4 linked regions of the Macaca mulatta genome follow. The protein of the gene in region 2 interacts with the protein of the main gene of each other region in a pairwise test. Links are inferred from orthologs where the notes say so. Each region holds a gene or a part of one and is shown on either strand. Other genes may lie near its edges.

Region 1 (4,057 bases), on a different chromosome or scaffold from region 2:
TGAAGACGGTGTTGAACTGTGTGGGGCAGGTGTGAAGACGGTGGTGAACTGTGTGGGGAAGGTGTGAAGACAGTGGAGAAGGTGTGAAGACTGGCGAACTGTGTGGGGAAGGTGTGAAGACAGTGGTGAACTGTGGGGAAGGTGTGAAGACGGTGGTAAACTGTGTGGGGAAGGTGTGAAGACAGTGGCGAACTGTGTGGAGAAGGTGTGAAGACTGGCGAACTGTGTGGGGAAGGTGTGAAGACGGTGTTGAACTGTGTGGGGCAGGTGTGAAGACGGTGGTGAACTGTGTGGGGAAGGAGGAGGCGAGTGCCAGCGGCAGAAGCCGGGGCAGCTGAGGGCCCACCAGTGCCCTGGGTGTGCTGAGGGGTCGGGATGAGGTCTGAGCAGGTCGCCCCTGGGAGCTAGAAGGACCCCTCTGGGGATGAGACTGGAGGCTTCTCATGGGTGGGGGCCGTGAGGACAAGACGGCAGTGCCTGCACGTGGCAGCCGCAGGCACCTGCTGGACACAGGGCGCCTCCTCTCTCTGAGGTGTGCCGCCATCTGTAGGAGAACCAGCAAGCGCTTCCACGAGCCCTCGGTGCCCGCCTGGGCACTGAGCTCCTGACAGCTGTTCATGGTGGTATTGCTGTGGGGGACGTGTGCTCCACCCCTCCCCTGCAGCCTCCTTCCCTCCTTGCAGCTTCGGAACCAAAAAGAAGCTTCCCAGAGCCGGGGCCAGGAGCCCCAAGCGCCCTGTAGCAGCAGACACAGAAGGTATAGGGAGGGAGGAGTCTGGGGCTGGCGGGTGGCTGGAGGCCCCGGGCTTGCACCCCAGCACCCTCTCCTTCCCCAACAGGAGCTCTGTGTGTCGTCTGAGCAGTCGAGAGAAGATTTCCCTCCAGGACTTGTCCAAGGAGCGCCGGCCTGGTGGGGCTGGGGGGCCCCCCATCCAGGACGAGGATGAGGGGGAAGAAGGTCCCGCCGGTGAGGAGCCTGAATCCGGACTCCTGGGTCCGAGGGAGGAGGGGTCGGGTTCTCTGAATCTAGAGGCAGCTGGCATCTTCTGTGACCTACCCGGTGTTCCCACATCACAGAGCCACGCCCTGCAGAGCCCGGAACCCTCAATGGCGTCTCCTCCCCACCGCACCCGAGTCCTAAGAGCCCCGTGGTGAGTGGATGCCCTGAGAGGTCCTGTGAGGCCGGGAGGGCCGGGAGGTGGGAGTCCATAAAGCCTGTGAACCTCTGGCAGGGGCAGGTAGGGTGAAGACTGTAGTTCCCAGAGTCCTCCTGGACAACCGGCTTCCTTTGTAGGTTGCGCTTGCCCCAGGGGCTGATGGGAATTGTAGTTTGGTGCAGTCCTTTGGGGGCTAACCCTTGAGGTCTGAGAAGAGGGATCCTTTCTCCCTGAGACCTCCTTCTTCTCCCAGCCGCCTGAAGAGGCCCCCTTCTCCAGGCGCTTTGGCCTCCTGAAGACAGGGAGTTCTGGTGCCCTGGGTCCCCCGGAAAGGCGGATGGCAGAGGGAGCCCCGGGGGCTGGGCTGCAGCGCTCGGCTTCCTCCTCCTGGCTGGAAGGGACCTCCACCCAGGTGAGTGAGGGTTGGGCGGGGTCCGGGCCCAGGCCCCTGCCCAGTTGGGGGAACTGCCCCTTCCTCCTCCTCTCCACACAGGCCAGGGAGCTCCGTCTTGCCAGAATTACCCCGACCCCCTCCCGGAAGCTGCCGGAGCCCTCTGTCCTGTGAGTCCCCAAGGCCTGGGCCCCTCGGGGGTAGGCGGCAGATGTGGGTTCCAAGCCTGTCCGTATGATCCTGAGTGAGCCCGTGTACCCCCCGGGTCTGATTCCTGCTCCCACCCCAGAGCCTGTGCTGTGTTCCTCCTGGCGGCTGGCTCCCTCCCTCAAGCCCGTGTTGAAACGTCACCTTCTCCCCATCATCCCCCACCCCGAGGCGCACGGACCACCTGCTGCCACCTCTGCGCCGTCGGCACATGCCCCTGCCGCTCCGCTCCCAGTTCTCGCGCTGCTGCTTCTGTCCAGCGTGCTTTACCCTTCTGACCGGCTGGGTAGAGTGCTGGTCTTTTCATGGCTGTTGTCAGTTTTGTGTATTTCTGCTCAGCTCTGACTCTGGTGGCCCAGATAATTTGTTTCTTTTGTTCACGGCTGCATCTCCAGTGCCGGCACACAATGCACCTGGGTAATGTTTGTTGAATGAATGAATTGATGCAGGTCTGAGGTCACCAAGCCTCCTCCTTGCTTGGAGAACTCCTCGCCTCCCTCCAGGATTCCGGAGTCTGAATCTCCAGCGAAGCCAAACGCCCCCACCGCCTCCACAGCACCCCCAGCGGACTCCCGGGACCGACGGAGGTGCAGAGGCCAGGGCAGGAAGCTGCCGCCCCAGCCAGCAGAGACTATGTCAAGCCGGAGTCCCGGGGCTCTGGGTGGGCTCCTGAGGGAGGGCTGGCCCCGGGTCTGCTGGGAGTTGGAGTCGCCTCCCACAGAACTTGCCTCCCGCGGAGGGTGCCCGCCACGGAATGGGACAGGGTCCCCAGTGCCCCTCCCTGAGGTTGGGACCCTTCCCTCAGGTCCTACCAGATGCCTGTGCGGGATGAGGAGTCGGAATCCCAGAGAAAAGCTCGCTCCCGTCTCATGCGCCAGTCTCGGAGGTCCACGCAGGTGTGGGGTGGGCTGGGGTCTGGACTCCTGGGTCTGAGGGAGGAGGGGACTGGGGGGTCTGGACTCCCGGGTCTGAGGGAGGAGGGGCTGGGGGTCTGGACTCCTGGGTCTGAGGGAGGAAGGACTGGGGGTCTGGACTCCTGGGTCTGAGGGAGGAGGGACTGGAGTCTGGACTCCTGGGTCTGAGGGAGGAGGGACTGGGGTCTGGACTCCTGGGTCTGAGGGAGGAGGGACTGGAGTCTGGACTCCTGGGCCTGAGGAAAGAGGAGCTGGGCCCTGACCCCAGCCTCCCCTGACTGTCCCCTTTCCCTGCCAGGGTGTGACTCTGACAGACCTGAAGGAGGCAGAGAAGTCTGCAGGGAAGGCCCCAGAGTCAGAGAAGCTGGCGCAGAGCCTGGTGAGAGGGGTCAGCGAGGGCGCGTGGGGTGGTGCGGGATGTCCTGGTCCCCTGACTCACCAACCCCTCCCGACAGGACCCTTCCCGGAGGCCCCGCGTCCCTGGAGTGGAGAACTCCGACAGCCCGGCCCAGAGAGGTGAGGTCTGCTCTCTGGGGGAGGTCATTCCCCGGGAATCATCGTCTCTCCGAGTCTTCCTGCTTTCCTGGGGGCTTGACCTGGGGACCCGGGCCCCCAGAGGCGTCTCTGGAGGTGCCTGGACTGATTCCTGCCCCTCCCCCAGCAGAGGCGCCTGACGGGCAGGGTCCAGGACCGCAGGCGGCCAGGGAGCCCCGCAAGGTCGGAAAGGAGTGGAGGGGGCCTGCGGAGGTGAGGGGGGCTCAGGTGGGGCCGGGCTGGTGCAGAGGGTGGGCCGGAGGGCGGGCAAAGCCCCTCCCATACCCACTAAAGCCCCTCCCATGCCCATTGAACCCCTCTCTACCTGCCCACAGGGGGAGGAGGCGGAGCCGGCTGACCGCAGCCCGGAGTCCAGGTAGGGGCGGGGTGGGAGAGGTGGGGCCTGCGTGCGGCCCGGGCCGGCCCCTGACGCGCGTTCCGCCCCCGCCCCAGCACCCTGGAGGGCGGCCCCTCGGCCCGCAGGCAGCGGTCACAGCGGGACCTCCACCCAGAACCTGAGCCAGAGTCGGAGGAGCAGGACGGAGGCTTTAGGAAGGTGTGATCCCACCCCTCCTTTGGGGCTCCGCCTGCCGGGTGCCCACCTCCTGGCTTCCCTGCCCCCAGCGTCGCCCCTGCCCTCCACCTGACCCTCCTCCGCCTGACCCTCCTCCACCCGACCCCCAGCTGTATGCAGAGCTGCGCAGGGAGAACGAGCGGCTTCGCGAGGCTCTGACCGAGACCACGCTGCGGCTGGCGCAGCTCAAGGTGGAGCTGGAGCGGGCCACGCAGGTAAAGGCGCCGAGGCCAGGGTCACCAGAACTGGCAGGGCCGCCTGGGTGGGGCTCAGACTGTTG
Region 2 (5,272 bases):
TCATTTCTGAAGAAGTGTTTTTGGGAGCCACAATGCTAAGCTGGACTCTCAGCATTGTTTTTCTTTACTGTTGCTGTTTGAGTGTTTTTAGATTAAAATTTAAGGATATGTATCTAGATGTGAACAATGAGTTTTGAGTTCTGGGTAAGCCGGAAGAAAAGTGTACAAAAACCTCAAAAGCTATTTGGTGTGGTGTTCTTCCTTCTGGCCAGTGATTGCTGGCCAGAAATTTCTAATTGAGAGGGCTTTGTAAATGGAGTATAAACTGCAGTTTGGCCTCATTTCCTATTTAGCTGTGGGTTGGATATTGATCTTAGTCTGAGGATAGAGCAGTGAACAAAACAAACTGGATCTAGGTTTTCTTGGAGTTCAGAGTTATTAAACTAGGCTCTGAAGTGGACATCAGGAGATTCCCTCCAAGACTTTGAGGACATGGTTATATTTCAGCCATATTTGTTAAAGAATGGAGTTCATTATTTTTTCCTGATTTGGCCTCAGTGCTTCAGGCCTGTGTCATGAGACGTCATCCCCAAGTTCCTGAGAAAGTGCAGTTTGGCAATGAAGATGTCAATCAGGAGGAGAGTCTGTCTGCATCCCAGCATCCCTTCATTCTTTTTTTTGGCGGGGGCGGGAGGAGGGGAGGTGGCGGACTCTCGATCTATCGCCCAGGCTGGAGTGCAGTGGTGTGATCTTGGCTTACTGCAACATCCGCCTCCCAGATTCAGGCGATTGTCATGCTTCAGCCTCCCGAGTAGCTGGAATTACAGTCGTCCACCACCACGCCCAGCTAATTTTTGTATTTTTAATAGAGACAGAGTTTCACCATGTTGGCCAGGCTGATCTGGAACTCCTGACCTCAAGTGATCCGCCCTCCTATGCCTCCCAAAGTGCTGGGATTACAGGTGTGAGCCACCGCAGCCGCCATCCCTTCATTCTTAATGTGATTCGTTTGCGCAGTCAGCCGTCGATACCCCTGGACAGTCTGCTTTCCCTGCTTCTGTACGGCCTTGGGGGGCCTTTCATTTAAAAATCAAAATGGAGAGGTTTTAATTAATCGGAGTGTTCACGTATGAAGGAAAAGGGAGAGGTTTTAATTAATCGGAGGGTTCACCTATGAAGGAATGGAAGAAACTAAAAAGTGGTACCAGTTTTCTGGATGCTGACTTCAGGCAGGGAGTTCCTGTACTTAAGACCAGGGCAGTTCTTCTGAGGGAACAGAAGTTGGTGTGCACTCCGTCCCTCACTCCAAACAGTGTGGTACCAACATCAGCTAAGGTGTTGGGGTGGCAGGGTGTTAGAATCCTGGTAATGGAGGAGCTGAGAAGTAAGAGTACCTTCAAGAGAAATGCTTGCCGAGTCAGACCTAAGGAGGATGTGTGTTAAATATTTTCCTTCTCTTCTGAGCCACAGAACACAAGCAAATTAGGCTTTTCGATAACACTGTTTCCATGGGAAAATGCTTTATGGGCCCCCTGGGAACTGACAGACTTTGGGAATTTGTCCATAAATTGGGAACTACTGTGCTAAGCATTTGCTTGCAACTTGTGGGTTTCTGTTTAAATTATGTTCTCTTTCTGTCTGTGAGATTGATTTCTTATTTGAAGAAGTAAGCATGTCGGTGGGTTTCGGAATGTTGAGTTTTTTTTTAAAAGTGGCAGTTGGGGTTCACTGGTGAGGGCTCTGGAGTTGGCCTGGCTGGGTTGGAAGGGGCTTCCACTGTGGCCTTGGGCAGATTGATTCCCTAAACCCCAGCATCCATGTCTGTACAGTGCTGGGCTTTCATGGGACCTGCTGCCGATGCTGCATTGCATGTCATGCTTTGTGCCTGCTGACTTGATTTTTGTTTTCACGTGTTCCTCTGTTCTGCACGGAAGCTGTGTGTTGCTTGTTCACATGCAGATTGTTGATTGTCTCTTTGTAATTGCTATCATTAAAGATGACAAGTTTCCACTTGGGGGGGATATGAGGAAGTCATAGTATTTAAGATATAACCAGCACCGCCCCCCCCCCCCCCCCCCCGCCGATAATCGTAATTGACAAAATCACATCTAAGAGGTCATTTCTGTCACTTTTTTCCCTAAGAGTATGTTTAAATTTTTTCTTTATGAAAGGGTAGCTAATTGTGCTAAATCAACCTGGTAATTTGTGTTTTTAAGGCTTCTACTTTTTGGCACTGACATGAATAGAATTTTTTAAACATTGGATATATGTAATTAATAATGTCTCAATTCTTACCTCATTATGTGCCCTAGCTTTGAAGGATTTCACTCATGGATCACCTGACTGCATGGTCTTGTAGATGGAAAAATGAATTCTAGAGCCTTATTTTAAAAATAATACATGGTGTAGCTTCATATATCGGGAAGAACCCTGCATTAATGGTACCAGGAGCCTTGGCCTCTGTTGCTGAAAGGTCCTGGACCTTTTACCTCTAAAATTTCGTGATTTTTATTTTAACATGAAAAGCCTTTATTGAATTGTGCATTCTTTAATCCCCACCCCTTTTGCCTTTCAGCATTAAACTGAAGAAAAGATGTCCCTGTACGATGACCTAGGAGTGGAGACCAGTGACTCAAAAACAGAAGGCTGGTCCAAAAACTTCAAACTTCTGCAGTCTCAGCTTCAGGTGAAGAAGGCAGCTCTCACTCAGGCAAAGGTAAAGACAAGCCCAGAGCAGGAGAGCAGAGGCCTCCAGAGTGGGTTGCTCATTAGGATGACAAGGAGTTTGGTTTCAGCTTGCTCTTCTGCCTTTGTATTGGGTAAATGGTGTTAAACATTTGTAGGGGGAGAGGAATGAGGAGTTTAAGGCCGCTTTGCTGCTCCTGGCTCCTGGGAATGGGAACATTTCATGGGATAGGAATGAAGAAAAACAGTACTCTGTGGGGTTGGGCACGGTGGCTCACGCCTGTAATCCCAGCACTTTGGGAGGCCAAGGCAGGCAGATCATGAGGTCAGGAGATGGGAGACCGTCCTGGCCAACACGGTGAAACCCCGTCTCTACTAAAAATACAGAAAATTAGCTGGGCATGGTGAGTGGGTGCCTTTAGTCCCAGCTACTCGGGAGGCTGAGGCAGGATAATGGCATGAACCTGGGAGGCAGAGATTGCGCCACTGCACTCCAGCCTGAGTGACACAGCAAGACTCTGTCTCAGGACGGGCGTGGTGGCTCAAGCCTGTAATCCCAGCACTTTGGGAGGCCGAGATGGGCGGATCACGAGGTCAGGAGATTGAGACCATCCTGGCTAACACGGTGAAACCCTGTCTCTACTAAAAAATACAAAAAATTAGCCGGGCGAGGTGGCGGGCGCCTGTAGTCCCAGCTACTCGGGAGGCTGAGGCAGGAGAATGGCGTGAACCCGGGAGGCGGAGCTTGCAGTGAGCTGAGATCCGGCCACTGCACTCCAGCCTGGGCGACAGAGCGAGACTCCGTCTCAAAAAAAAAAAAAAAAAAAGGCTCTGTCTCAAAAAAACAAACAAACAAAGCAAAACTGGTACTCTGAACCAGCAGTGACACTGGTTTTCAAACTTAAGTAGTGGAGGTCTAAGATTGAGTGAGAACTTGTTTAAGGTGCTGATTGTGTAGCCATACTCCTGATATTCTGGTAAACTCTAGTTTAGACTGGAGCCCCAGGAGTGGGCATTTTTAAGTAGCATTCCTACTGGTTTGTTGGCGGTAGTTTGGAAGCAGCACTTTGGGAAGAAGCTCCACAGAATACCTAAGCTGCTGGGTGTAACTTATTGAGGGCTGGGGTTGGTTGTGAAGGTGTCAGGCATATGTAGTCTGGATGCTAATTGCTTTTGTTTCTGTTGTGTGCATGTTGGATATTGGCAATGTCCTTGAAATAACTCAACATGTAAAACATTAAAAACATAGTTGTCGACTGGATATTTGCCATTAAAATGTAGGCATGAGAATGGTATGATTTGTTTACTATTTTAGAGGTCGTTATGCTCTAGAGTTTGCATTCGCAGTGGAGGCTATATCCCCCCAAACGGAGCGAATGTTGGTCTTTTGGGGGGCAAAAAAATCTTGCTCATATTGTGCACAGTGTTAAAATTTCATGTGTCGGAAAAAATGTATTAAAAGGCTCCTTGTTGGGGAGGCAATAATTAAACTTGAGAAAAAGTACTTTAGAGATACATGCTGAAATATTTACTGATAAGATGATGTCATTTTTGGGATTTACTTCGAAACAATTCAGTACCAGGCAGGGGAGGGAGGGAAGAACAGAACTACCCATGAGTTGGTAATGGTTGAAACTGGATAGCAGAGACTTAAGAATTTATAATCTCTTTAATTTCATGTTTGAAAATTTCCATAATACACAGGGTTTTTTTTTAAAGTTTTACTCATTTTTCTTTTCCCTTTACCACATCAATAGATACTTACATGGAAGTGCTTACGTTTGATTGTTCAGTATTGTAGAAGTTTTTTTGTCTTTTTAAAATTCATCATTACCAAATTTAGATTTTTTGGATGCGAGTATTTTTTGTTTTTTTAAAGCAAGTTTTCATTCCAAATGTAAGGAAGGTTAGCAAAACCTCGTTTTTCTCTTTAATTTTTTAAAAAAGTAAATGTATAAAATCTTTGTAGATTTCATGTAACTTTTGCTTTGCAGGAAAGATGTGGATGTGAGCCACCATGCCCGGCCTCATATAGATTTTTAAAACTTGAGGTAGCTTGTGAAGTTATTTCTACTAACTTTCTAAAACTTTTGAGATTGCTATGTACAGTTAGTTTTGTGGGTTTGTTTGTTTGTTTGTTTAAGGGAAATGAAGATTGCATTCTCTTAGGCTGTTTAGTTACTCAGAATACTAGATTGGCCTAGCCAAACCTGTAAAGATATTTATTTGGTAGAGAAAATTTGAAGCTGTGGTTTCATTTGTATCTCCATTTGAAAAATACAAAGTTGTTTCTTGGTGTCCACAGGGGATTGGTTCGAGGATCCCCCCGCACCGGATACCAAAATCCAAGACTGCCCAAGTCCCTTATATAAAATGGTGTGGAGTTTGCACATAACCAGCACATATCTTCCCATATTTTAAATAATCTCTGGATTGCTTGCAATACCTAACACAATGTAAATGCTGTGTAAAAAGTTGTTATACCGTATTGGTTTTTTAATTTGTATTTTTTCTTGTATTGTTTTATGTTCTTAATATTTTCATCCTGGGGTTAGATATGTGGAACCTGTAGATACAGAGGGCCAACTCTATATTGAATAGAAAATAATAGAAAATACGTGATTCTGACTGGGCACGGTGGCTCGCA
Region 3 (5,272 bases), on a different chromosome or scaffold from region 2:
CTGATGGAAGAAAGCCTTTACAGAGGACATGCTATGGGAGCTGGCCATGCTGTCGTATTGTCTGTAAACATTCTTATTCTTGTTGTTTCATGTGTCTTCCCAGATGTACTGGGATAGCATTCTGCCATTTTGCTCTAGAGTAGGATTACATTAGAAGCAGCAGCACAATGAAGAAGAAGGAGCACTAGACTGGGTGTCAGGAGACAGAGACTCTATTTCTAGTTTGGCTACCAGCTAGAGGACATTTGGCAAGTCAATTTCCCTAGCCTACAGATCCCTGATACTTAAAGAAAGAAAGAAAATAAAGAAAAGGCCAGGTATGGTGGCTCACACCTATACTCCTAGCACTTTGGGAGCTGAGGCAGGAGAATCACTTGAGCCCAGGAGTTCAAGACCAGCCCGGGCAACAAAGCGAGACTTCGTCTCCACAGAAAATAATTAGCTAGCTGTGGTGACATGCATTTGTAGTCCCAGCTACTCGGGAGGCTAAGGTGGTAGGATCACTTGAGCTCAGGAGTTGAAGGCTGCAGTGACCTATGATCCAGCCACTGCATTGAGGCCTGGGTGACACAGTGATACCCTGTCTCTAAAAACAACAACAACAATCTCCTGTGGTCCTGGGTGTCAGAGAGACAGCTGCCTCAGGAGCCACGTTCCAAGCTAGATTAAACTTCACATGATATTGGTAGACAATGTCTCCAAAGGCTGGCACTATGTTATTTATGTACTGTTCTCTCAGACTCCTCATAAAGTATACCTAACACTCAATAAATGCATTTTAACTAGCACCTGGCCTCACCATATTGATACTGGAAGCTCAGCTCTCTCTATGCCCATTCCTCCCTCAAACTTCTTGCCCTTAAATCAGAATTGAGAAGTCTCTGTTCTTCCAACCTTTCCACTTAAAATGTGTGGCCTAAAAATAAAAAATAAATAAGACAAAAAAACACCAAAAAACAAAAAGAATGTGTGGCCTAATGATATACACATTTGATGTTGAATCTGTCTGTATGTAGCTCTCTCTAGGGAGATCATGTTCCATCATCTCAGCCAGACTTTAGGTCCTGTGAGTCCAGGCACTGGACTTAACATGCTCAATAGGGCTTTGATGAATGATGATGATGTCAATGCAGACATCCCCATACCCCAGCTTCAGCACCCCCTTCACCTCCTCACACGGGGGCAGAGAGGTCCTCTTTTCCTTCTGGCTATGTTTACACCCTCAACTATCCTTCCAGCACTGGAGACAAGTCTCACCTGCACTAACCTGTCTTTGAAGGTCCTGGGAGCTGGAGGGGTCACAGGCCCTGAGCCAGCAGGCTGAGGTGATCGCTCGGCAGTTGCAAGAACTGCGGCGGCTGGAGGAGGAGGTCCGGCTCCTGCGGGAGACCTCACTGCAGCAGAAGATGAGGCTAGAGGCCCAGGCCATGGAGCTGGAGGCCCTGGCACAGGCAGAGAAGGCCGGCCGAGCTGAGGCTGAGGGCCTGCGTGCTGCTTTGGCTGGGGCTGAGGTCGTCCGGAAGAACTTGGAAGAGGGGAGCCAGCGCGAGCTGGAAGAGGTTCAGAGGCTGCACCAAGAGCAGGTGAATGCAGGGGTGGGAAGGATTTAAATTCATAACGGAGAGCTGGGCAGTAGCTTCCAAGCAAAGAACAGGTATTGCAGAAGAGACTCTCCATGAGTAGTGAGTAGTGGAGTGATGAGACCTTTGGTGAAAAGAAACACACATGGCCTAGAAAGATGGAGAATTTGGTTATTTTGATCTTAATTCAGGTTGCACTTTTTCCCCAAGACTCAGGTGGCCTCCCACGACTTGAAGCCCTGCTTCCTTTTCTAGTAGGAAGTAGTTTGCCTCCCTGCTTTACTCTGGGTACCAATTCATCGGGGGTATTGTGGAGGGCAGTGAGGAAGGTGGATATAAGGGGGCTATGGTGGACTGGGAGAGAGAGATTATTCAGTCCGCAAACTCAGTGCTTACTCTTTGCCATCTCAGACTCAGTGACCAAATTAGCCTGAATCCTGCCTTCATGGATGGAACTGACAGCCTCATGGGGGATACACACATCCACTTTTAATTTAATCATAATTAATTGCAATCAGGAGGAGTGCCTTGAAGGCGAAGGACTAGAGAGCACTAACTTAGTCTGGGGTTCAGGGAAGGCCACTGTAACCAATTGGACATGTCAAGGAAAGAAACCATAAGGCCGGGTGCAGTGGCTCACGCCTGTAATCCCAGCATTTTGGGAGGCCGAAGCAGGTGGATCACAAGGTCAGGAGTTCAAGACCAGCCTGGCCAACATGGTGAAACCCCGTCTCTACTAAAAATACAAAAATTCACCAGGCATGGTGATGCACACCTGTAATCCCAGCTACTCAGGAGGCTGAGGCAGGAGAATCACTTGAGCCTGGGAGGTGGAGGTTGCAGTGAGCCGAAATTATGCCATTGCACTCCAGCCTGGGCAACAGAGCAAGACTCTGTCGCAAAAAATAAAATAAAAAAGGAACTGGGAGAAAACAAGGGAGAAATTCTTTGTAACCTTGTAGTGGGCAAGGCCTTTCTACCTGTGAGTCAAAATCCAAAATCTAGAAGCCGTAAAGGAAAAGATTGATCCATTGACTTTATAACATGAACATTAGGAATGGTGGGGAAAAAAAAAAAAAAGCTCTATTTATAGCTCAGATCACAAGAAAAGGGTAATATCCCTAATATAAAATGTGTGCCTAGAAATTGGTAAGGGAAAGACCAGCAATCCAGTCAGAAAGTGGACAAAGGAGATTCATGAAAGAAACTCAGAAACAAGAAGCTAGGCCGGGCACAGTGGCTCACACCTGTAATCCCAGCACTTTGGGAGGCTGAGGTGGGCAGGATCACTTGAGGCCAGGAGTTCAAGACCAGTCTGGCCAACATGAAGAAACCCAGTCTCTACAAAAAATACAGAAATTAGCCGGGTATGGCGATGGGCGCCTGTAATGCCCCAGCTTCTTGGGAGGCTGAGGCAGGAGAATTGCTTGAACCTGGGAGACAGAGGTTACAGTGAGCTGAGATCACCACACTCCAGCCTGGGCAGCAGAGCGAGACTGAAAAAAACCAGCAAGCCACCATTTGTGCTGAATAGGAGTTGGCCAGTGAATAGGTGTGTGAGGTCCAATGGTCTCTGGAGAACACTCGGCAGGACAACTGGTGGAGGCGGGGACAGGCGGAGGCCAGAAGGCTGGAGCATAGAGATCAGGGGCGCTGAGTGTGCTGCAGAGCATGGGACCCAGGGCACAAGGCCTTGGCCACTTCAGAACTTGCTACTTTCCCTTAAGAGCAATGAGCAGGCTGGGCACGGTGGCTCATACTTGTAATCCTAGCACTTTGGGAGGCTAAGGCAGAAGGATCACTTGAGCCCAGGAGTTTGAGACCAGCCTGGGCAACAAAGTGAGCCCCCATCTCTATTTTATTAAATAAACTAGGGCTGGGCATAGTTGCTCACATGTGTAATCCCAGCACTTTGGGAAGCTGAGGTGGGTGGATCACTTGAGGTCAGGAGTTCGAGACCAGCCCTGCCAACATGGTGAAACCTCATCTCTACTAAAAGTACAAAAATTAGCTGGGCGTGGTGGCTCATGCCTGTAATCTCAGCTACTCGGGAGGGTGAGGCAGGAGAATCGCTTGAACCTGGGAGGCAGCGTTTGCAGTGAGCTGAGATTGTGCCATTGCACTTAGTCTGAGCAACAAAGTGAAACTCCATCTCCAAAATAACAAAAAGAAAACAAAATTGTTTTTTTAAGTGATAAGCAACTGTTGAAAGGTTTTAGGCAGGGAAATGACATGATTAGATTTGTATTTTATGTCTAAAAAGTTTTGTCATTTATATCCCCCAAATTAACTTTATTGTTGTATGGAGACGGGGCTAGAGGAGGCAGACCAGGAAGCAGGGTGGCCACTTTGCCCTCCTTCCCAGTCCATCCCATGACTGTTGGTGGCTCTGACACCCCTGCAACCCTTTGAGGTGCCATGAGCAAAAGACACAAAATTCCTCCTTTCCTGGAGCTTTCCTTCCGATGTGGTCTGAAAGATAGTAACACATACACATAAGCAAGATATGGTCAGTGCTAAGTGCTCGGGAGGACGTGAGCAGTTGATGGGGCACAGGAGGGTGGTGAGAGTTATTAGAGGGCCCAGCGAAGCCACCCTGAGGAGGGGCTATCACCTGGGGTCTGTGGAGCAAGGAGGGGCCGCTGTCTGGTTCTCAGCGGACTCCCTGTGGCTGGAGGGGGGAGCATTAGGAGAGCCTCTAGGGTGAACTCAGGAGGCAGGCAGAGGCTGGGTCCCCCGGCCTGCAGGTGTGGAGAGATGCCTGGGTTTTGCTGTGAATGCTGTGAGAAGCCACCGAGGGTTTGTAAAGACTAGTTAGGAGATGGTCCCTGTTGCCCAGGCAAGAGATGAGGGTAGCTTACCTTGGGTTGGTGGCAGTGGAGACGGAGACGGAGAGAGGTGAAGATATGTTTTGGGGGAGATTGAACAAGAACTCCCGATGGGTTGTGGGGCAACTGCAGAGAGTGAGTTACCAGCTCTCCATTTGCTATGCGCAGTTGGGTGATTGGTTTGGTCATTGTCTAAGGTCACAGAAAGTGGGAGTGAAGGGAACAAGGAAGGCCTCCATGTGGGGTCGAGCTCCTGCTGAGCCTCCTCTTCTTTCCACAGCTGTCCTCTTTGACACAGGCTCACCAGGAGGCTCTTTCCAGTTTGACCAGCAAGGCCGAGGGCTTGGAGCAGTCTTTGAGTAGTCTGGAAACCAGGAGAGCAGGGGAAGCCAAGGAGCTGGCCGAGGCTCAGAGGGAGGCCGAGCTGCTTCGGAAGCAGCTGAGGTAGGTGGGTGGATGCCGACGGGGGCCCAGCAGTTGGTGATGTGGTGGGTCTGCAGGGTGCCCCACTGATGGCTGTCCCATTCCCACCCCAACCCTAGCAAGACCCAGGAAGACTTGGAGGCTCAGGTGACCCTGGTTGAGAATCTAAGAAAATATGTTGGGGAACAAGTCCCTCCTGAGGTCCACAGCCAGACATGGGAACTGGAGCGACAGAAGTTTCTGGAAAACATGCAGGTGAGTGTGCAGGAGTGCATCTGTGTGGGGACTTGGGGATCAGGTTGGGGGGCAAGTGTGGCCCTTGGAGGAGCGTGTAGAGCACAGCCCTCAGGAGAGAAGGTGGTACCCGAGGCGGCATGGAGGCCCTACAGGGGGGCTGCTTCTCTCCGCCCGCAGCACTTGCAGGAGGACCGGGATGGCCTG
Region 4 (5,272 bases), on a different chromosome or scaffold from region 2:
CCTGGTCTGTGCTAGATGTCTTAGAGGGGCATGATGGTTGGCAGTTCATGGAACTGTTTCAAAGAAATGGTTTGAGTAATTTTTTTGTGTGTGTGGTGATCATTGGATTAGCCAGTGCAGTTAAGGAGAAAAATTGATGCCAATAATTTTCTTCACAACACTGCGGATTGAAGCAGCTCTTTGCCCTAGACTGTAATTTAATACATGTCAGTATTCTGGGCCTGATGCAAAGCTGTGCACACGTTTTTTGAATTAGTGAGTGAGCGAAACTAGGGCTTTGGGTGATTTGAATTGATTTCTTACTGTTTTATTGCACCTTTGAGAATCCAAGCACATTCTTTTTTTTTTTTTTTTGAGACAAGAGTCTGGCTCTGTGACCCAGGCTGGAGTGCAGTGGCACCATCTTGGCTCACTGCAACCTCTGCCTCTCAGGTTCAAGCAATTCTCCTGCCTCAGCCTTCCAAGTAGGTGGGATTACAGGCGCATGCTACCTCACCTGGTGGCTAATTTTTTATATTTTTGGTAGAGACAGGGTTTCACCATGTTGGCCAGGCTGGTCTCCAACTCCTGACCTGAAGTGATCTGCCTGCCTCGGCCTCCCAGAGTGCTGGGATTACAGGTGTGAGCCACCTCACCCAGCTCAAGTACATTCTTTGAACATGTGGTGACTCAGTTCTTGCCCTTCAAAATCAGAGTCCAAACTAAAAAAATGGAAAATCTTGGAATTTTATTTTTTTAGGGTGTAAGGATCTCTTTAGAATCTCCCCAGGCATGGTGGCTCATGCCTGTAAGCCTAACATTTTGGGAGGCCAAGGCAGACGGATCACCTGAGGTCAGGAGTTTGAGACCAGCTTGGTCAACATGGTGAAACCCCGTCTCTACTAAAAATACAAAAATTAGCCGGGCATGATGGCAGACACCTATAATCCCAGCTACTCGGGAGGCTGAGGCAGGAGAATGCCTTGAACCTGGGAGGCCGAGGTTATGGTGAGCCAAGATCATGCCACTGCTCTCTAGTCTGGGTGACAGAGCAAGACTTTGCTCAAAAAAAGAATTTCAAAAAGTAGGAAATTGCAAAGTTGGGAGTCAAGACCAGCCTGACCAACTTGGAGAAACCCCATCTCTACTAAAAATACAAAATTAGCCGGGAGTGGTGGCACATGCCTGTAATTCTAGCTAGTTGGGAGGCTGAGGCAGGAGAATCGCTTGAACCTGGGGGACAGAGGTCGAGGTGAGCCGAGATCCCGCCATTGCACTCCAGCATCCAAAGAACAAGAGCGAAACTCTGTCCCTGCCAAAAAAAAAAAAAAAAAAAAAGAAATGCTGAGTCTCAGATCCCACCCTTTTCAATCACAATATACATTTTGATATAATCCCCAAGTGATTTGTTTGCACATTAAAGATTGTGGGGGCCGGGTGCAGTGGCTCACGCCTGTAATCCTAGCACTTTGGGAGGCTGAGGCAGGTGGATCACCTGAGGTCAGGAGTTCGAGACCAGCCTGGCCAACATGGAGAAACTCCGTCTCTACTAAAAATAAAAAAATTAGCCAGGTGTGGTGGCACACACCTATAATCCTGGCTACTCAGGAGGCTGAAGAAGGAGAATTGCTTGAATCCGGGTGGTGGAAGTTACAGTGAGCTGAGATTGTGCCACTGCACTCAAGCCTGTACTACAGGAGCGAGACTCCATCTCAAAAAAAAAAAAAGAAAAAGATTGTGGAAGCAGTGCTTTGAGCCAGTAGTTCTCAGTGGTGACCAAACATTAGAATTACTTTTTTACTCAAGGAGTTCTTTTGTTTTGTTTTGTTTTGTTTTTTATTTTTCCGAGACAGAGTCTCGCTCTGTCACCAGGCTGGAGTGCAGTGGCGCAATCTTACTTGAGGAGTTTTTATACGATTGATACTTTGCTCCCCCTCAGAGAGATTCTGGGGTAAGTCTGGCTATTAGTGTTTTTAAATAAAAGATTTGACCGGGCACGGTGGTTCACGCCTGTAATCCCAGCACTTTGGGAGGCCGAGGCGGGCAGATCACCTGAGGTTGGGAGTTCAAGACCAGCCTGACCAACATGATGAAACCCTGTCTCGACTAAAATTATAAAATTAGCTGGCCGTGGTGGTGCATGCCTGTAATCCCAGGTACTCGGGAGGCTGAGGCAGGAGAATCACTTGAACCCGGGAGGCGGACATTGCAGTGAGCCGAGATTGTGCCATTGCACTCCAGCCTGAGTGACTAGAGCGAAACTCCGTCTAAAAAAAAAAAAACATTTAAAAGTGCAGACAAAGCTGAGAATCACGGCACTAGCCCAGTTGCAGTGCTGCTTTTGCTGTCCCTGGGGCAGGAGGTAGAACTGCAAAGCTTCTTAAAAGTAGGACAGCAAGGAGTAGAGAAATATTTTCTTAAATAAATGAACTACACATAACAATTTTCTGGCAATTTTGCTGAAGGATCTAATATAAAACACTATTGACACATTTTCATGGTTTCTTTCCTATAGGCTCAAACTGTCCAGGTTGCTGAAGTTGAACCACAGTCACAGCCACAGCCTTCCCCAGAACTTCTGCTTCCAAATTCTTTGAAGCCAGAAGAAGGGCTTGAAGTATGGAAAAACTGGGCCCAGACCAAGAATGCTGAATTAGAGAAGGATGCTCAGAACAGATTGGCACCCATTGGGAGTGAGTGTCTGGGAAGAAGAGTGGGCTCTGTCTAAAATGCAGTGGTACTGAAGTAACAGGAGGACAAAATGGCAGAAAAGTGGTATCCCCTGTCTGGGGGAAAAGAGAGCAACATCTGTAATAGTATGTTGAATTCAGTCCTAGCAACAAGCAGTACTGACCCTGTGTACATAATAAGCAGGATGTGTGGGGTTTGCGCAAAACCAGGCATTTTTAGACATACGGGTTTCAGGAGTTGACCCTACCAGACCTGAACACAGTGGCTTCTGGGAGGAAATGGGAACCAGGTAGTAGGCACTCACTCAAGCCCTTCTTTCTTGGCATTAGGCTCATATACTCACATGATAGGCCAGTTCTGACATTACAGGCGTGAAACATTACAGTAGATACAAGTGACCATTTCTGTCCCAGCACCCTCATGGGCAGTATGTGTTCTGAGCCTTCCAGATATGGACCCCCAGGACCTCTATTCGTCCTGGGTTGCCAGGACCTCCATTCATCTTTGGGGCTTTCGTTGCAGGGCGCCAACTGCTGCGATTCCAGGAAGATCTCATATCCTCTGCTGTGGCAGAGTTGAATTATGGGCTCTGTCTAATGACACGGGAAGCTCGAAATGGAGAAGGTGAACCCTATGACCCAGATGTGCTCTACTATATTTTCCTGTGTATTCAAAAGGTAGGAAACAGATCTTCATGAGAACATGTTTGAGCTGTGTTCCTGTTGGATGTTTGCTAGTTTAGTTAATGACAAACAAGAAGTTAAAATAAGGAAGTTCTCTTTCAGGTATATAATGAGTTTTAAAATGCACATTTTTTTAAGTTTTAAAAACGTACATGTTCACTTTAGAAAATAAGAGCCGGGGCCGGGCGTGGTGGCTCACACCTGTAATCCCAGCACTTTGGGAGGCCGAGGCGGGCGGATCACAAGGTCAGGAGATTGAGACCACGGTGAAACCCCGTCTCTACTAAAAAATTACAAAAAATTAGCCGGGCGCGGTTGTGGGCGCCTGTAGTCCCAGCTACTCGGGAGGCTGAGGCAGGAGAATGGCGTGAACCCGGGAGGCGGAGCTTGCAGTGAGCCGAGATCGCGCCACTGCACTCCAGCCTGGGCGACAGAGCGAGACTCTGTCTCAAAAATTAAAAAAAAAAAAAAAAAAAGAGGTCGGGCGTGGTGGCTCAAGCCTGTAATCCCAGCACCTTGGGAGGCCGAGATGGGCGGATCACGAGGTCAGGAGATCGAGACCATCCTGGCTAACACGGTGAAACCCCGTCTCTACTAAAAAATACAAAAATCTAGCCGGGCGAGGTGGCGAGCGCCTGTAGTCCCAGCTACTCGGGAGGCTGAGGCAGGAGAATGGCGTAAACCCGGGAGGCGGAGCTTGCAGTGAGCTGAGATCCGGCCACTGCACTCCAGCCTGGGCAACAGAGCGAGACTCTGTCTCAAAAAAAAAAGAAAAGAAAAAAAATAACAGCCAAGCGAGATGTCTCACACCTGTAATCCCAGAACTTTGGGAGGCTCAGGCAGGAGGATCGCTTGAGCCGCAGGAGTTTGAGACCAGCCTAGGCAACATAGTGAAACCCCATCTCTACAAAAAATTAGCTGGGTATGGTAGTGCGTGCCTGTAGTCCCAGCTGCTTGGGAGGCTGAGGTGGGAGGATTGCTTAAGCCCCAGAGGTTGGGGCTGTAGTGAGTCATGATTATGCCACTACACTCCAGCCTGGGTGACAGAGTGAGACCCTGTCTCAAAAATGAAAAGAAAAATAATTAGCCGGGTGTGGTGGTGCACACCTGTAGTCCCAGCTGTTTGGGAGGCTGAGGCAGGAGGATTGCTTGAGCTCAGCAGTTCGAGGCTACAGTCAGCTATGATTGTGCCATTGCACTTCATTCAGTCTGGGCTGCAAAGCAAGACCTTGCCTCTTAAAAAATAAATGCATAAAATAAATAATAAAATAGGAAAACAAACATTATTCATCATCCTACTACCTAGAGAAACTTCTGTTACATTATTGGTAATTACCTTGACCTTTTTTTGTGTGTAATTCACAAAGCATTTATGTAACACTTTTCTTTTTGTTAAGGTAAACCTGATTTTCATGAAAGTAATTTATTCAAAACAAAGTCTTGTGCCAGCATAGAACTTTCCTTCTCATTGTTCCCTGCATTAACACTAAATACTTATTTGAAGGAGTCTAGCTAGAATAATATACCAATGTAGTTAGGTTTTCAGGACATCTGTTGTGAAGCATAATGGAAATTTGCAGACTGGCAGTTCAAGGGAGCAGAGGTGGATATTTTAGTGCTTGAAGGCTTTTGAGGAGAAATCACAGTATAGTAGAGTAGGGCTTACTGGTTGGGACTCATTCTGTTGGCCTAGTCTTGAGACATGTCTGCCTCCTAGTTTTTTCCTCTCTCGGTGGTCCTAACCTAAGTACTGTGTGAATTGCTTTACATGCTTTCATTCTGTGCTCTCCCCAGTCCTGGAAGGCAGATACCATCATCTCCATTTACAGGCAAGGAAACTGAACCCCAGAAATTAAAAGACTTGCACATGTTATTTAACTTACACAATATCTAATGGAAGACTGACCCTAGAGCCTATT

The links.
Region 1: the proteins of RBM17 (region 2) and PPP1R12C interact in binary tests that used the Homo sapiens proteins (3 or more experiments, as listed by UniProt). The two-hybrid records come from large-scale screens. The link is inferred for Macaca mulatta from reciprocal best matches to the Homo sapiens genes RBM17 and PPP1R12C.
Region 3: the proteins of RBM17 (region 2) and CCHCR1 interact in binary tests that used the Homo sapiens proteins (3 or more experiments, as listed by UniProt). The link is inferred for Macaca mulatta from reciprocal best matches to the Homo sapiens genes RBM17 and CCHCR1.
Region 4: the proteins of RBM17 (region 2) and QRICH1 interact in binary tests that used the Homo sapiens proteins (3 or more experiments, as listed by UniProt). The two-hybrid records come from large-scale screens. The link is inferred for Macaca mulatta from reciprocal best matches to the Homo sapiens genes RBM17 and QRICH1.

The regions. Positions count from the first base shown.
Region 1 is NC_133424.1:67,409,432-67,413,488, reverse strand, and holds part of PPP1R12C (protein phosphatase 1 regulatory subunit 12C), read left to right. Parts: intron 1-683; coding exon 684-757; intron 758-839; coding exon 840-967; intron 968-1,077; coding exon 1,078-1,148; coding exon of another isoform or gene 1,149-1,151; intron 1,152-1,410; coding exon 1,411-1,569; intron 1,570-1,650; coding exon 1,651-1,718; intron 1,719-2,204; coding exon 2,205-2,342; intron 2,343-2,560; coding exon 2,561-2,651; intron 2,652-2,967; coding exon 2,968-3,048; intron 3,049-3,124; coding exon 3,125-3,185; intron 3,186-3,330; coding exon of another isoform or gene 3,331-3,333; coding exon 3,334-3,416; intron 3,417-3,538; coding exon 3,539-3,579; intron 3,580-3,656; coding exon 3,657-3,759; intron 3,760-3,887; coding exon 3,888-3,992; intron 3,993-4,057. UniProt on the Homo sapiens protein: Regulates myosin phosphatase activity.
Region 2 is NC_133414.1:7,673,552-7,678,823, forward strand, and holds part of RBM17 (splicing factor 45), read left to right. Parts: intron 1-2,515; 5' UTR 2,516-2,533; coding exon 2,534-2,656; intron 2,657-5,272. UniProt on the Homo sapiens protein: Splice factor that binds to the single-stranded 3'AG at the exon/intron border and promotes its utilization in the second catalytic step. Involved in the regulation of alternative splicing and the utilization of cryptic splice sites.
Region 3 is NC_133409.1:151,909,601-151,914,872, forward strand, and holds part of CCHCR1 (coiled-coil alpha-helical rod protein 1), read left to right. Parts: intron 1-357; exon of another isoform or gene 358-387; intron 388-1,279; coding exon 1,280-1,583; intron 1,584-4,688; coding exon 4,689-4,852; intron 4,853-4,950; coding exon 4,951-5,086; intron 5,087-5,245; coding exon 5,246-5,272. UniProt on the Homo sapiens protein: May be a regulator of keratinocyte proliferation or differentiation.
Region 4 is NC_133407.1:112,478,771-112,484,042, reverse strand, and holds part of QRICH1 (transcriptional regulator QRICH1), read left to right. Parts: intron 1-2,494; coding exon 2,495-2,672; intron 2,673-3,192; coding exon 3,193-3,347; intron 3,348-5,272. UniProt on the Homo sapiens protein: Transcriptional regulator that acts as a mediator of the integrated stress response (ISR) through transcriptional control of protein homeostasis under conditions of ER stress.